Styela clava: one gene and its partner. The protein of the gene in region 2 interacts with the protein of the main gene of each other region in a biochemical or structural test. Links are inferred from orthologs where the notes say so. Each region holds a gene or a part of one and is shown on either strand. Other genes may lie near its edges. The genes, in order: polyglutamine-binding protein 1-like and uncharacterized protein LOC120328357.

Evidence for each region.
Region 1: the proteins of uncharacterized protein LOC120328357 (region 2) and polyglutamine-binding protein 1-like form a complex in vitro, tested with the Homo sapiens proteins (2 studies listed by BioGRID and IntAct, with this or other methods). The link is inferred for Styela clava from reciprocal best matches to the Homo sapiens genes WBP11 and PQBP1.

What each region holds. Positions count from the first base shown.
Region 1 is NC_135260.1:11,813,379-11,820,457, forward strand, and holds the start of polyglutamine-binding protein 1-like, read right to left. Parts: upstream 3,110-7,079; 5' UTR 2,899-3,109; coding exon 2,530-2,898; intron 1,256-2,529; coding exon 1,013-1,255; 3' UTR 1-1,012. UniProt on the Homo sapiens protein: Intrinsically disordered protein that acts as a scaffold, and which is involved in different processes, such as pre-mRNA splicing, transcription regulation, innate immunity and neuron development.
Region 2 is NC_135256.1:13,376,540-13,382,981, reverse strand, and holds uncharacterized protein LOC120328357, read right to left. Parts: upstream 2,464-6,442; 5' UTR 2,374-2,463; coding exon 754-2,373; 3' UTR 558-753; downstream 1-557. UniProt on the Homo sapiens protein: Activates pre-mRNA splicing. May inhibit PP1 phosphatase activity.

The DNA of each region.
Region 1 (7,079 bases), on a different chromosome or scaffold from region 2:
AGAGAAGGATTTTCACTATACCGTATGACGCATTTATTTTTTTTGTTGTGATCTTTTAATGTTTTATTTAAGTGCATAGGGCCGCGAATCATTAAAAAAATTGAAAGGGGTCCGTCGTGGAATTTTTTTTAAAAAGTTTGGGAACCACTGGACTATTCAATCATGCGACACCAAGTGATTTTAGAATAAACTATGCCAAAGTTGTCGGGTCCAATCTCCAAAGACCTCGTTTAAATGGAATATGGAGTCATCATTAACATATTGCAAAAATTCCTTAACCAACGAAAACTTCGCACATACGCACTTTAGTGTGACATGTTGAGAAAAAAAAAATTCCCATATTCCAGAATATCAATATAACCGGTTCAATCCAACTTTTCTGAAGGCAACGGAAGTTTTGATGAAAAAGTAGGATTTTCTATTAAATCTTATCATTATCAATCAGGATTTCAATTTTTTATTTGAGCATTTTATCTAAAAACTTGTCTGGTATAAACAAATATACGAAGACTCGAAGAGTGGCACAAAAGCTTTTTGGTATTTGAAAAACAGATGAAACCAAAAACAATGTTTGAAAATTTCTGAAGGTGAAAGTTTTAAACATCAAACTTAACATATAAGACAAATGCTTTAAAATTTATAAAAATCCATCATAGTTACCGTAAGTTAAATTGTATCTATATCATTTGCAAAATATTGATTCTTCACTGTTATGTGGACTCGTTATAAACCCACCTGTAATATTCATGTGACAAGGGCACATGATAAGTGAGATGGGCTTCAATCAAACAAGCGATTCATTTGTTAGAATTCAACAATTCCTACATAGAAGCATTTCATGGAAGCACTGTATCTCATAGAAGTAGCATATATGTGTACTTGATATCTTCTTATCAGTGTCAGATTGGTAATCAAATTGCACCGCTTCCATCAACCCAAATGGAGAACTACCAGCATCAGCTACACATGCTCCTTTTGTTTCAATAATTACGCAAGTAAATCCAGTCTAGTATCATTGAGGTTTTTGAGGACCAGTCATTGATAAAGCTTGCTTATTTCTTTTAAGAACTTCACCAGGTGAAGGATATGGTCTCTGTTGAAATAAAGGACCGGATGCAGTAGAATCTACTCCACTCTTTGCATCATCTAATTTTTTAAGTCCTCTTCTCCAATCACCAACAGGAGCATCAGAATAGGAACTTGGATCCATTGGATCAATTTCATCATCAGCAGGTGCCGGTTTCTGCCATCGCACCTGATAAGTTACATAGATATTAGGGTCATACAAGGCTTGAAAAATATGAAAATTTTGACTACGCATAGTGAGAAAATTAGCCGTCGAAAACACAACTACGCTGCATGAAACTGCATTTTCCTATTTCATAGGGGTGGAGAACTTATTAAGCTGCATGAATTGAAAAATATCACAGGTACAAATTGGACAGTGAAGAAATAGTTAATTCATAGATCAAAAGTAATTAGGTTGTTTTTGGCACACAAATCTTGAATATCTTTTACTGCTATTGGCAAGTGTTGGCAGCATTTCGTAATGGGCTTTGGATAAATTTTTTTAAAGAAATACACACTGCAGATTGCAGTCTATGCAATTTTGATCATTTTCAACTTTTGAGTATGATATTTTATTGACCTTGATAACTACTCAAAAACGTGTTTATCCATTAGACCCCATACAGCCAAACTCTTAATCAGTCCAAATGGAAATTCATGACATAGGCACTTGAAACTATGATATAAGGATTTCAAATAAATATATAGGCTGAAAAGGAATAGATTTTATTACCATATTTGTATGAAATCTGAAAAAGTTTTAAATGTGGATTTATTATATCGTTTGGAGCGGGAGCCACTAAAATTTCTGATAGCCATATCTAATATGGTAAGTTTAGCTACAGTTTCAACAAAACACCACTGCTCTATGTCGAAAACTGAGGACCTCATATTCACATTATCCATGATGATTAGTGTTGAATATTGAATAGATAATGAACTAGAATCAATATTGAACTAGACGACAGATGTACCCTGTAGCAGGTTAGCATTGATGATGATATGAAAACCAATGTTTACTCCACATAACAGTGACCAATTAACCATAAAATATAAAGCAGTGTTTTGAACATGTACCTTACATTAAACCACCCAAATAAAATATTGAACATATTCAACTAGGAATAGGAAAATCATACAATCAAATTTTCATGATATGCATATATAATCACATATCAAATATCATTATTTTCCTGATTATGAATTCCAACAGGAATCAATGAAGTGTGACATCCAGTGGGCAGACATGATACATTGGTCTAGGACTAAACTGTGGTTGATTAATATCAAGGATATTACAACCAATAAAAATTCAATAGTAGTAACTGATAAAGAAGCAGAAGTAACAATTCAGATAACAATGTACTGTACATAACAGTCACAACTTACAAGCATGTTGTAGGGTACCTTGAATGATTCATATACTGGTATAAGAGTAAGAACATACACATACAGAAATACCTGTCTTGATTTAGATTTAGGTTTACTTCGCTTTGGTTCACTTTCTCTTTTTTCTTCTGTATGAGTTTTCGTACTATTTGCTGGATATGTGATCACAGCTTCAGGATCACTAGGTGGTAGCCAGCTAACCATATCACGAGATACGTCCCAATAGTACCATGTTTCGTATTCCGGGTCCCAAACTTTTTCCCAACCTTCGTGTAAGAAATTACCAAATTCATCAAGCCTTGAATCAAGTCCTTCAATTTCATCATTAGTCTTATTTGTATCGTAATCTTCTGCAATAACCTCTTCTTCTGGTTCCTCAACTTCTTTTGAAACGATTCCGCGTTTTGCAAGTTTAGCAGCTAGTGCTGCAGGGAGAGGCATGGTTTTTTGATTGTTAGAATCTCAAATGTCAATAGCTGGTGACTACTGACTAAATCTGATATTGTAATACAGTGGGGAAAAAAATTTATTTTCATAGACACACTGAATGTGACGAATTGGAGAACATTGTATAAAATTGCTTATGCAATTTTCTGATTTTACTGGTGCATCATAGATTCAATATGATGGCACCATTCAAAAGCTATTGTTAACTTCTACAAATGTGTCGATATCGCAATAGATTAAAACAAGAACAAAATGAAGTTTATGTAACGTTAATTCAAAAGATTTTCAAAAAATTTCCACGTTTTACAATTTTTGTAGGATAATCGCGAAATTTTATTTTCATTTCAAAATTATGATTAGTTTTCAAGAAGATTGTCTTTCAAACAATATAAAACTTGTCTAAATATGATAAGGTTACGGTACGGTACAGTAACTCATTACTCATGCGAGATGGGGTCTCCCTAAAACCAGGCACTCGCGAATTCAGGCACTTTTTCAGGCACCATTTCAGGCACTTTGATATTTTTTTATTTTTTCTGTACGTCATTGGGATTTCCAATTTACCTGACAAGATAATTAGACTTTAAATAATTTTTTGCATCCCTATATTGCAATAAAACAATATTATTTCCAATTTATTAGGGTATAAATAATTTTTCAATAGTAAAATGTGGCAACATTGATTACAAAATATAGAAATCAGGCACTTGTGAAATTTCAGGCACTTGGTCAAAACCTATTTTACAATGTATCTGATTACTCTAAAGCAGAAAATTAAATATATACACTTTGTATAGTTGAATTTACAACTTTTTGGTAAAATACAATACCGTTTGTGACTGATGGAGGCGTGTCATATTTCGCAAGTGCCTGATTTTTCATTTTTCTCGGTGATAGTTGCCATATTTTTTCGCAATTATTTTCTTAAATTATTTGCGTCAGCACTTACTATTCTTTGCTTTCTAACGCAAATTCATTGTTCCACAACAATTTGAGCGTTTTTAATATTGCAATGAGTAATACCATTTGACAACATATGGTCAACCATTGTACTTTCTGGATTTATTTGAAATTGAATATGAATAATAAAATCTGGCAACCTCAAGCACAAAATACTAAAACCAGGCACTTGTGAAATTTCAGGCACTTCGTAAAAACCTATTTCTCGATGTTTTTACTTACTTTGAAGCAGAAAACTAAAATATACACTCTTTTGTATGATTGAAATGACGTCTTTTTGGTAAAAAACAAGAACGATTGGGACTGGTCATGAGGGGTCAAATTTCGCAAGTGCCTGATTTTTCATTTTTTTCGATAACAGTTGCCATATATTTTCGCAACAATTTTTCTAGATTATTTGCTTCAGCACTTACTATACTTTGCTTTCTAACGCAAATTCATTGTTCCACAACAATTTGAGCGTTTTTAATATTGCAATGAGCAATACCATTTGACAACATATGGTCAACCATCGTACTTTCTGTATTTATTTGAAATTGAATATGAATGATAAAATCTGGCAACCTCAAGCACAAAATACTAAAACCAGGCACTTGTGAAATTTCAGGCACTTCGTAAAAACCTATTTCTCGGTGTTTTTATACACTTTGAAGCAGAAAACTAAAATATACACTCTTTTTTATGATTGAAATGACGTCTTTTTGGTAAAAAACAAAAACGATTGGGACTGGTGATGAGGGGTCAAATTTTGCAAGTGCCTGATTTTTCATTATTTTCGATAACAGTTGCCATATATTTTCGCAGCAATTTTTCTAAATTATTTGAGTTAGAACTTCCTAATCATTTCTTTTTGAGTAGAATTCCTAGTTCTACAACAATTTCAGCGTTTTTACAATGAGCAATATTATTTGACAACATATACATAAACATCGTACTTTTTGGATTTATTTGAAATTGAATAGGAATGATAAAATCTGGCAACAGCAAGCACAAAATACTAAAACCAGGCACTTGTGAAATTTCAGGCACTTTGTAAAAACCTATTTCTCGATGTTTATACTTACTTTGAAGCAGAAAACTAAAATATACACTCTTTTGTATGATTGAAATGACGTCTTTTTTGGTAAAAAAGAAAAACGATTGGGACTTGTGATGAGGGGTCAAATTTCGCAAGTGCCTGATTTTTCTTTTTTTTTCGATTACAGTTGCCATATATTTTGCAATATATTTCATAAAATCATTTTCGTCAGAACTTAGTACTTACTATACTTTGCTTTCTCGGTAAAATGTTTTTTAAGACAATCCGATGTATATTGAGTGCTATTCTTATCGCTAATTTCAATTCGACGTCTGCCCGAAGGTGGTGCAAGTATTTATATTTGAAGTGAGTACATACCTCTTCAAAACGCCCAGATGGAAGATTGAACAAGTCGGAGTCAACAAAAATTCAATTACATTTGGAACGTTGTCGCACTGCATCGTCGCCACTCATATACTCTGACATTCCGATGCATGGATTTTGCTTTCTGGAAAATAATAATTGGAGTGTCTGTTAAAGTGCGAAATGTATACGGGAGCACGTACAATATCAATGCTTCGTTTGCAAGCGTTGGTATCATGATACATGTGAGAAATTATCGAAAGCGAAATTGTGGAAGTGTAAAATTTGTATTCGGTAAGTCGGTGTTGCAAATGTGGGTATTTTCAGGGCGCTCCCGTAGTAGCCTATGTGCTCCAAGATGGCGCACAACCTATTACCTCTATCTCGGTACACATACTATGTTCGGGTTGTGTGCCAACTTTGTGCACATACTACGGGAGCACCATTTTCTGCACAACCTATTCTGATGCTCATTCGCGACATGAAGAAACTATACGCCCGACATATAAGAGTAGCAAACAATACACAAAACCTTTTCATGTTTAATTTCAGAACTGACATTTAAAATTTTCAATTCTTAGATCTGTGGTTTTACCTAATTGCAAGATACGTAAATCATATCATGTCAAAATAGAACAAATAGTAAGGATTTTCATTGGATACTCAATATTTCTAATAATTTTCAAACTGAAAGCTTCGATTAGTGTTCACTCATACACTTCCTTTGTGAAGTTGTGTTTTTAATGTTTTATCTCCTTAATAAATTCAAATTTATATCCCCAATTACTGATGAAGAAAGATCTATAATCGAGAGTTTAATACGGCTTCTGTGACATTAAAAACAATTACTGTTTTACGTTTTTATATATTTGTAACTTTTTGAATAACGCAAAAAAAATCGTTGACTGACTACTGGCGTGTTGAATATTGAAGGATTTTTATTGTAACATTCGTTTAACGATGCTTTTAAGCCTAACTTTGGGCATATCAGCTACCTGATGTCATTCGCCGAGCGAATTTTGTTTAGGTGACATTGCCATCTCGTATTTACCATCCTGTAGCCATTCTTCTTATTTAGGAACTACGTGTTTTACAGTTATCTGTTACAGCATGAAATAATGTACAAATAATTCTACGTAAACTATCCATGAAATTCATTCCATAAACTATCCATGAAAAGATATTACAGTCAGATCTTCAGGTTGTAAAGAATATTATACAACAGCAACGTCAAGTGATTGAATATCTTTATTGTAGCCGTGGTTGAACACCGCTGGTTGTCAATATAGATTTTGCATAGGCTTTTATACATTTTGTGAACGGTAAATTATGTTCTATTAGGGGATAATGTGACTTGGATACGTATTATAAAAAATTCTATACGACATAAGTCAATTGTTTCTGTTATGTAGTTTATATGAAGTCATAGGCCGAATTACATTATTAAAATCGTCGTCCGATAACAATTAAAACTGGAATTTCGAACTAATATTGCCAGAAGACAAATTAGGTTCTTTATAACAATGCGATTGTTGCTACCTGGGTAATATATTACGTCGAAATGTTTATAACAAATTAGAAGAAGTTTTGAACCAATTTCAAGGGTTCCGAACATTACTATAAAGATGTCGTCTGAATAACTAATATTCTTTACAGATCTGTCCAATTTAAACCCGTATTTAAATAATACATATGTAATACTTTTGAATTAATAAAAATAAACAACACAATGTCATTCAAACTTTACAATATTCAAATAGTGATTGGTTTAATTAAATACCAATTTCCGGAGTAGATACTGATGTTAAAAGTTTAATTCCATTTATGCTAAGTG
Region 2 (6,442 bases):
AGTTATCGCCGGTGGGTTCACTTCCCCTGCGGCGCAAAAATGCTTTCCTACCAAACCAGCACAGAGGAGATGACCCAGAAAATTCTTTTGAGCGTCCGAACAATTGAACTGTTATGAACTTCTCATCTATCGCGGCTGCTTTGCAAATAAACCAGAATCACCTCAGTGATATAACACCTTCTACCAATGCTGGCGAATCAGAAACATATTCATGTGTGCACCGTACAAGTTTAGAGCATTTGTAATGCTTAGAGCTTATTGTACTGCATAAATATTTTGTTTACAGAAAACCAGGGCTTAACTGCCTGTCATCCTGATGAAAAAGAAAAAGGGGAATTCTGTGTTACGCGAATTGTGACTGTTTTATGTGTATTTGAAGATTCATTCCTCATTTATCCTCGTGCACAAAGAACACAAGATTTCAAAATTTCAATCATCAAAAACGAGGAGGAACTTTCAACCGAAACAAAGTTTAACGACAGCAGGAATGGCCAACTGCGGGACTGACCATGTTTTTCAGTGGCCTCCAGCACCACAAATTAATACAAGGGACAAACTAATTTTGACATATCGGTTTATTAAACAGTGACCCTAAATATGATACATATTAAAACATATAAAAATTCAGAAGACCACACATCCAGAAAAATTGATTTGTGATCACTCGATCAGCCAATCACACTGGAGTGCAGGTAGCTATCAGATGGAAAGAGAATAAATACCATGCAGTGCAGTTAAAAATAGGTGAATAATCTAAAGGAAACCCTGCATTTCTTTCATAAAAGAGTCATATGCAACATCAGCATTCAACTTTCCTTTTTTGTTTTTCTCTTGTCTATTTCTGTCAGAAGATGATGGAGCAGAAACATTGGTAGGCCTGTTTGGTCCAATTTTCGTTGTAGTTTGTCTTTTTACACGAATAGACGTTGGCATAAATCTTGTGACATCTGCCTTGGGGTTGTTGATGATCTTTGGTTTAGCAACAATCATAGCAGGCATTCCTTCTTTTTCCTTATCTTGTCGATGCTGAATCAAACTTGGAGGTGCACTCAAAACATTAGCGTTATTGATTGGATTTTCAGCTTGTATACTTCTATTAAATCTTTCTGGTATTTGCTGACGAATTGAAGGCATCATGCCCATGCGGATTGGCATTGTTGGTGGCAAACCTGGTGGTGGGCCAGGTGGCAGTGTTGGTGGATGGCCTGGTGGTGGGCCAGGTGGTAACATTCTTCCCTGTATTCTGCCTGTAGCAACATCTGGTGGTAATCTGGGAGGTCCAGGAGGCAAACCAGGTGGAGGGCCAGGAGGTGGTTTTTGTTGAGGTTCAGAGAATCTTGTATTTTTCACATCTTTGCTCGGTATATCACTATCAGCCGAATCAACTTTTTCATTTGAGTCCTTTGTTGGCACACTTTGACCAGCCAATTTTAGCATCATAGCTTGAAGTGGAGTAATACCAGAAGCGTCTTCTAGTCTTGCATGTTTTGACGCATCTCTGCCATCTTCATTGTCTGATGTTCCATCACGTGACTGCACTCTTTTTCTTCCTCCGGAGGTAGAATCATCCAGATCATCGTCGCGGTGATAAAATTCATCATCAGATTTTTCTGCATCCTCATGATCAGCAGCAATTTTTTCTTCATCGCTGTCACTGCCACCATCACCCAATATTGGACCTTCCTCTGGATCATAGGCATCTTTATCATTATCAATTGACTTTTCTATCGAAGGAGTTCCAGGTGGTGGCCTTGGATAAAGAAAACGAGCATTACCTTTGAATCTTTTTTTCAGTGGTGGAGGACCCGGGGGTGGTCCTGGTGGATCTTTTTTTCTTTCAGTCTTAGAAAAAAATCCTACAGAAGTAGGATTCTTTTTCAAAATTCCTTGTGGCTGGATTCCAGGTAATGGTATGTCACTGAGTTGCGGAGTTTGAAATGGAGCATCAGGAAGGGGAATACTATCAATTGTAACTTTTTGAGCATTTCGCACAGATTCATAATATACTTCTTTCTTCAAACGATCCTTTCTATAATTATCAACAAGAAGTTTTAATTCAGCTCCTTGCTCAGGATCCTCACGAAGATAGTATTGTGTGATTCTTTGAATATTTTCCAGCAACTTGATTCGCTTTTCTTTCACGACTTTGTCGTTATAGGGAAGATTTTCAGATGGATTAAGTTCCATTTCATCGAGAGTGTCCAACTCAGCAAGCATTTGTCTTGGATCTTTCGTTTTTATTACAGCTTGCCTCACTGCCAGCCTTTGTTTTTTATTTTTGCGTAACTCACGCCTTCTCGCTTCCTTTCGGGCCTGATCAGTGGGGTTCATAAATTTCCCACCCTTGGTGGTAGAAGTTACTCTTCTCCCCATTTTGAAAAGTTATCTATGTATTTAGGCCAACAAATAATTATTTTCAAAATCCACACATAGAAGAAGTCTATTAAAGAGAGTGTAAATTAAATTAATCATTGACTGAAATTTTTAGTGAAAATTTGAATTCATATGAATACCCATTATAGGTATTATCTTGCTTAACAAAAATCGAATAAATAAAATATGCAATCACTAGTCAAATCGCACCCTTTGCTTTCCCAGAATGAATGAATTTTGTCCCATCAATAGTTTGTTGTCTACATTGCTTGGTCCTAATAATACTGTAATAGATACAAGAATTCTAGACTCTGAACATTTGGCAAAATACCAAGAAGACCGTTTTTTGAATAACATACTTTGACGGTACATGTACAGTGATACTATTCTAAATAAAAAAATAAGGATTGTAATTTTTCAACTTGGTTTGAAATTTCAAAGTAAAAGAATGGCAACTTTGGACTTCCACCAATGCAGTTTTGTTTCTTTATGGTTAAAAATGTATCCAAATACGATCTAACGCCAGTATTGATTTTATGGTCTTTTACTACAATAAATCGGGCAATCACAAATCTCAGCATGCAATCAGCGAATGCGACACGACAAACATTTGAGCACAAGTGCTAACCTTCCGGGACCTTCTAGATCCTCAGCGTGCAACTGACAGAACAGCCCCATTTAAATAAAAACTTGAATAAACAAGTGTTCGATTACTTAAACAGAACATTCCAACTGGCGCTTCGAAGCAGAGTCCAGTCTAGCAAAATTGACGACGACCATGCATATTTTGCATAGGGTAAAGGTCAATATTTTGGTGCAGACAGACACGGAATGCAATTAGCCTACGTTTCAAGAGATACCCGTTTAGTTGTAAATCGACATGGGTTTTTGTGTGTTCGTGAAAGCCGAATGGTGCTTGTTCTCTGTAATCCAGTAATCAGTCAGTTTATAATGTTAGAACGTTTCAGCACTGTCTATTGGTGGTTGTTTCATTCCACTACTGTACCCTTCAGACTGTCAGATATAATTGTGAGCAATCATGAATTTTACGGCATGCAAAATGGATTTTGCTTGTGTGTATTTTTGGGGAGCACCAGTGTACCCGGGAGTGCACCTACCATGGAATCCAGACTGGGGTACAATCATCTATGATAATATCAACTCTGATCCAAATCTACAAAACTCAATGATTGTACGGACATATAGAATAAAAACAGTCATAACAATAACCAAGAAAAATGACAATGGAGCATACAATTCATCGCAGTCAGCTCCCACCATATTTCTGCAAGCACACAAAATTCACCTACTACTGATGATCAACATAAAATTGTTGTATGTCAGTGTGTTGTAAAATTCAGGTCTCCTGAAATACATACCGTACTTCTAATTGGCCTGGCTGTGTGACTCGACAATTTTCGCATACAGGCATATGTCGGTGACGTAGTCAGGTGGGGGTTAGGATTGGCATATGCAAAAATTGTTGAGCCAGGCCAACTAGAAGTACATGTGGTACTAAACTATACCAGGCCTGTACTTCTAGTTGGCGTAGCAACGATATTCCTAACCCCCCCCTGACCTGAGTACGTCACCCAAAAATTACATCACTGCGTCGTCACAATCGCCTCATAGAGCTTGCTGAAGTATAGTTACGATCGTCCGAAATGGCATTTGTGCCGACTATAATAAACTCACTAACGTCAGCGATCTCTCTGTTATCGGTATCGTTTCGACAAGAAAAATAGCTTGCTCGATTTTGGATGATTGTCTCCTCGACCATCCGTATACTTTGGAGTTCAGTAATATGTCACTGCCACTTTGCAGTGATGTTATTTTCGTATGACGAAGTCAGGCGGGGGTTAGGAATAACATATCATGCAAAATTTGTTATGCTACGCCCACTGGAAGATACTTGTGGTACTAAACTATACTAGACGTGTCAATTCCAACATCCTGAGTCCTGACAACTGTACAATGCTATTTTTCTTGTTTCTATAATGCTAGACAGAGGTCGCACTTACAAGATCAACTAGATCAGGGGTGCACAACTCAAATGAGGATACGTGCCAAATTTTTCAAAATGATTTTGTGACGTGCCACGCACAGTTGTGGTATTGTAAATTAACTCATGCAAAACAAACAAATTTCAATAATAATACATAATAACGGATATCTATTTATTGAAACAATTTAATGTCCTGAAAAACTGCTGATTTTGATATAAACGTGATATTTTAATGTATATCATAAATATTTTTTTTTACAAAACCGTTCGCGTGCCACGTTTGAGCGTTTGGCGTGCCAAATTTGGCACGCGTGCCCCGTGTTGTGCACCCCTGAACTAGATCACCGAACACTATTAGGCCCAAGAGCAAAGTGACTTTGTAGTCAATTTCCCCAGACTGGATTCCATGGCAGGTGCACGCCCGAGGGCGCTAGCGCTCTGCAAAAATGCACGCGATCGAATTCATGGCGTTTCAAATTAAATTTTTTTATAAAGCTATAGTTCTGAATAATGTTTTATATGGATTCGGACTAGTGGAAACAAACCTCTGTGAATTCTGTGAATTATATATTGAAACCTTTTTGCATTTATTTTATTATTGTCCAATCACCAGTGAATTTTGGTCTGACATAGACCAATGGATTGTCTTTAAGACCGATAACTTGGATTTTAATCTTGGAATGAAAGAATGTTTTATTGGCTTCGATGACATTTCTGATATGCAATTCATCAACTGTGTGCTGTTAGCTGCACGTTTCTTTATATATAGATGTCGGATTCAAAAGCGTAAACCAGTTTTTGATGTTTTTTATAAATTCATTTCTGATATTCGAAACAATGAGAAATATATCGCAATGAAAAATGGTAAAATCATGATACATAATACAAATGGCGTTTATTTATATAATCATTGATTACTTAGCTTAAACCTGACAACTGTGTTTTTGTTCTAATTTGTTTATAGTCTTTATATAGCCTAATATCTATTTAAAAGCGTGAGATTTAGAAAAAAAATAAAAAATAATTCTCTCATGTTTATTCTGTAAGATAATTTGATTAAAACTGTTATGTTCATGTTATGAAAAAATACTCTTATGTCTGTGTTATTGAGTAATATTACTATTTATTTATTTCTATGTTTTTATGTATAAAATCCAAAATTATCTGTGGAATGATTTAAGGAATTTATTAATATTGTTTGCTGCTATATAATGTTTTATAATTTATGAAAATCCAAAAAATGCATGTCCTATAGAGTGATCTGAAATGATACTGTTATTTATTGTTTTTTTTTGATTTCAGGCGATATTGTTTATTGCAATATTGTTTTTATTTAATAAAAATCCAATGAAAAAAGAAAAAAAAAAAAATTCATGGCGTTTTTTTATCATTGATTACTTAGCTTAAACCTGACAACTGTGTTTTTGTTCCAGTTTGTTTATAGTCTTTATGTAGCCTAATATATATTTCAAAGTGTGAGATTTAGAAAAAAAATAATTCTCTCATGTTTATTCTGTAAGATAATTTGAGGTTTAAGGAATTTATTAAAATTGTTTGCTGCTATATCTTGCTGCTATCCGAAAAATCCATGTCCTATAGAGTGAAATGATATTGTTATTTATTGTTTTTTGATTTTGAACGATATTGTTTATTGCAATACTGTTTTTATTTAATAAAAATCATATAAAAAAAAAAAAATCAATTTTGCACGCCGAAAATTTGCAATTGCTCACTCATGAAAATCGGTATAAATAGGTTTTAAATCAACAATCCAGTGATATAATGATGTCAACAAATTGCAGCTCCACAGTTGTTGACTACATACTAGCTTGCAAGATTTAGCCTGATCAAAAAATGCGAAGCAAAAAATACAACATTTCATGATTGCTTGGCGGTATGGGGTATCGGGTAGAATGATAGGAATCCTGTGAGAATAGTTATGGGCAAAAAGATTGACTCCTTGCCGACGCTGGTCGTTTACGGCTCTGATTCAGCGTGTTGTTTATCCAATAATTTCACGCAAAAACACTCTCAAAATTAATGTCAAAGTATGGAAATAATGTT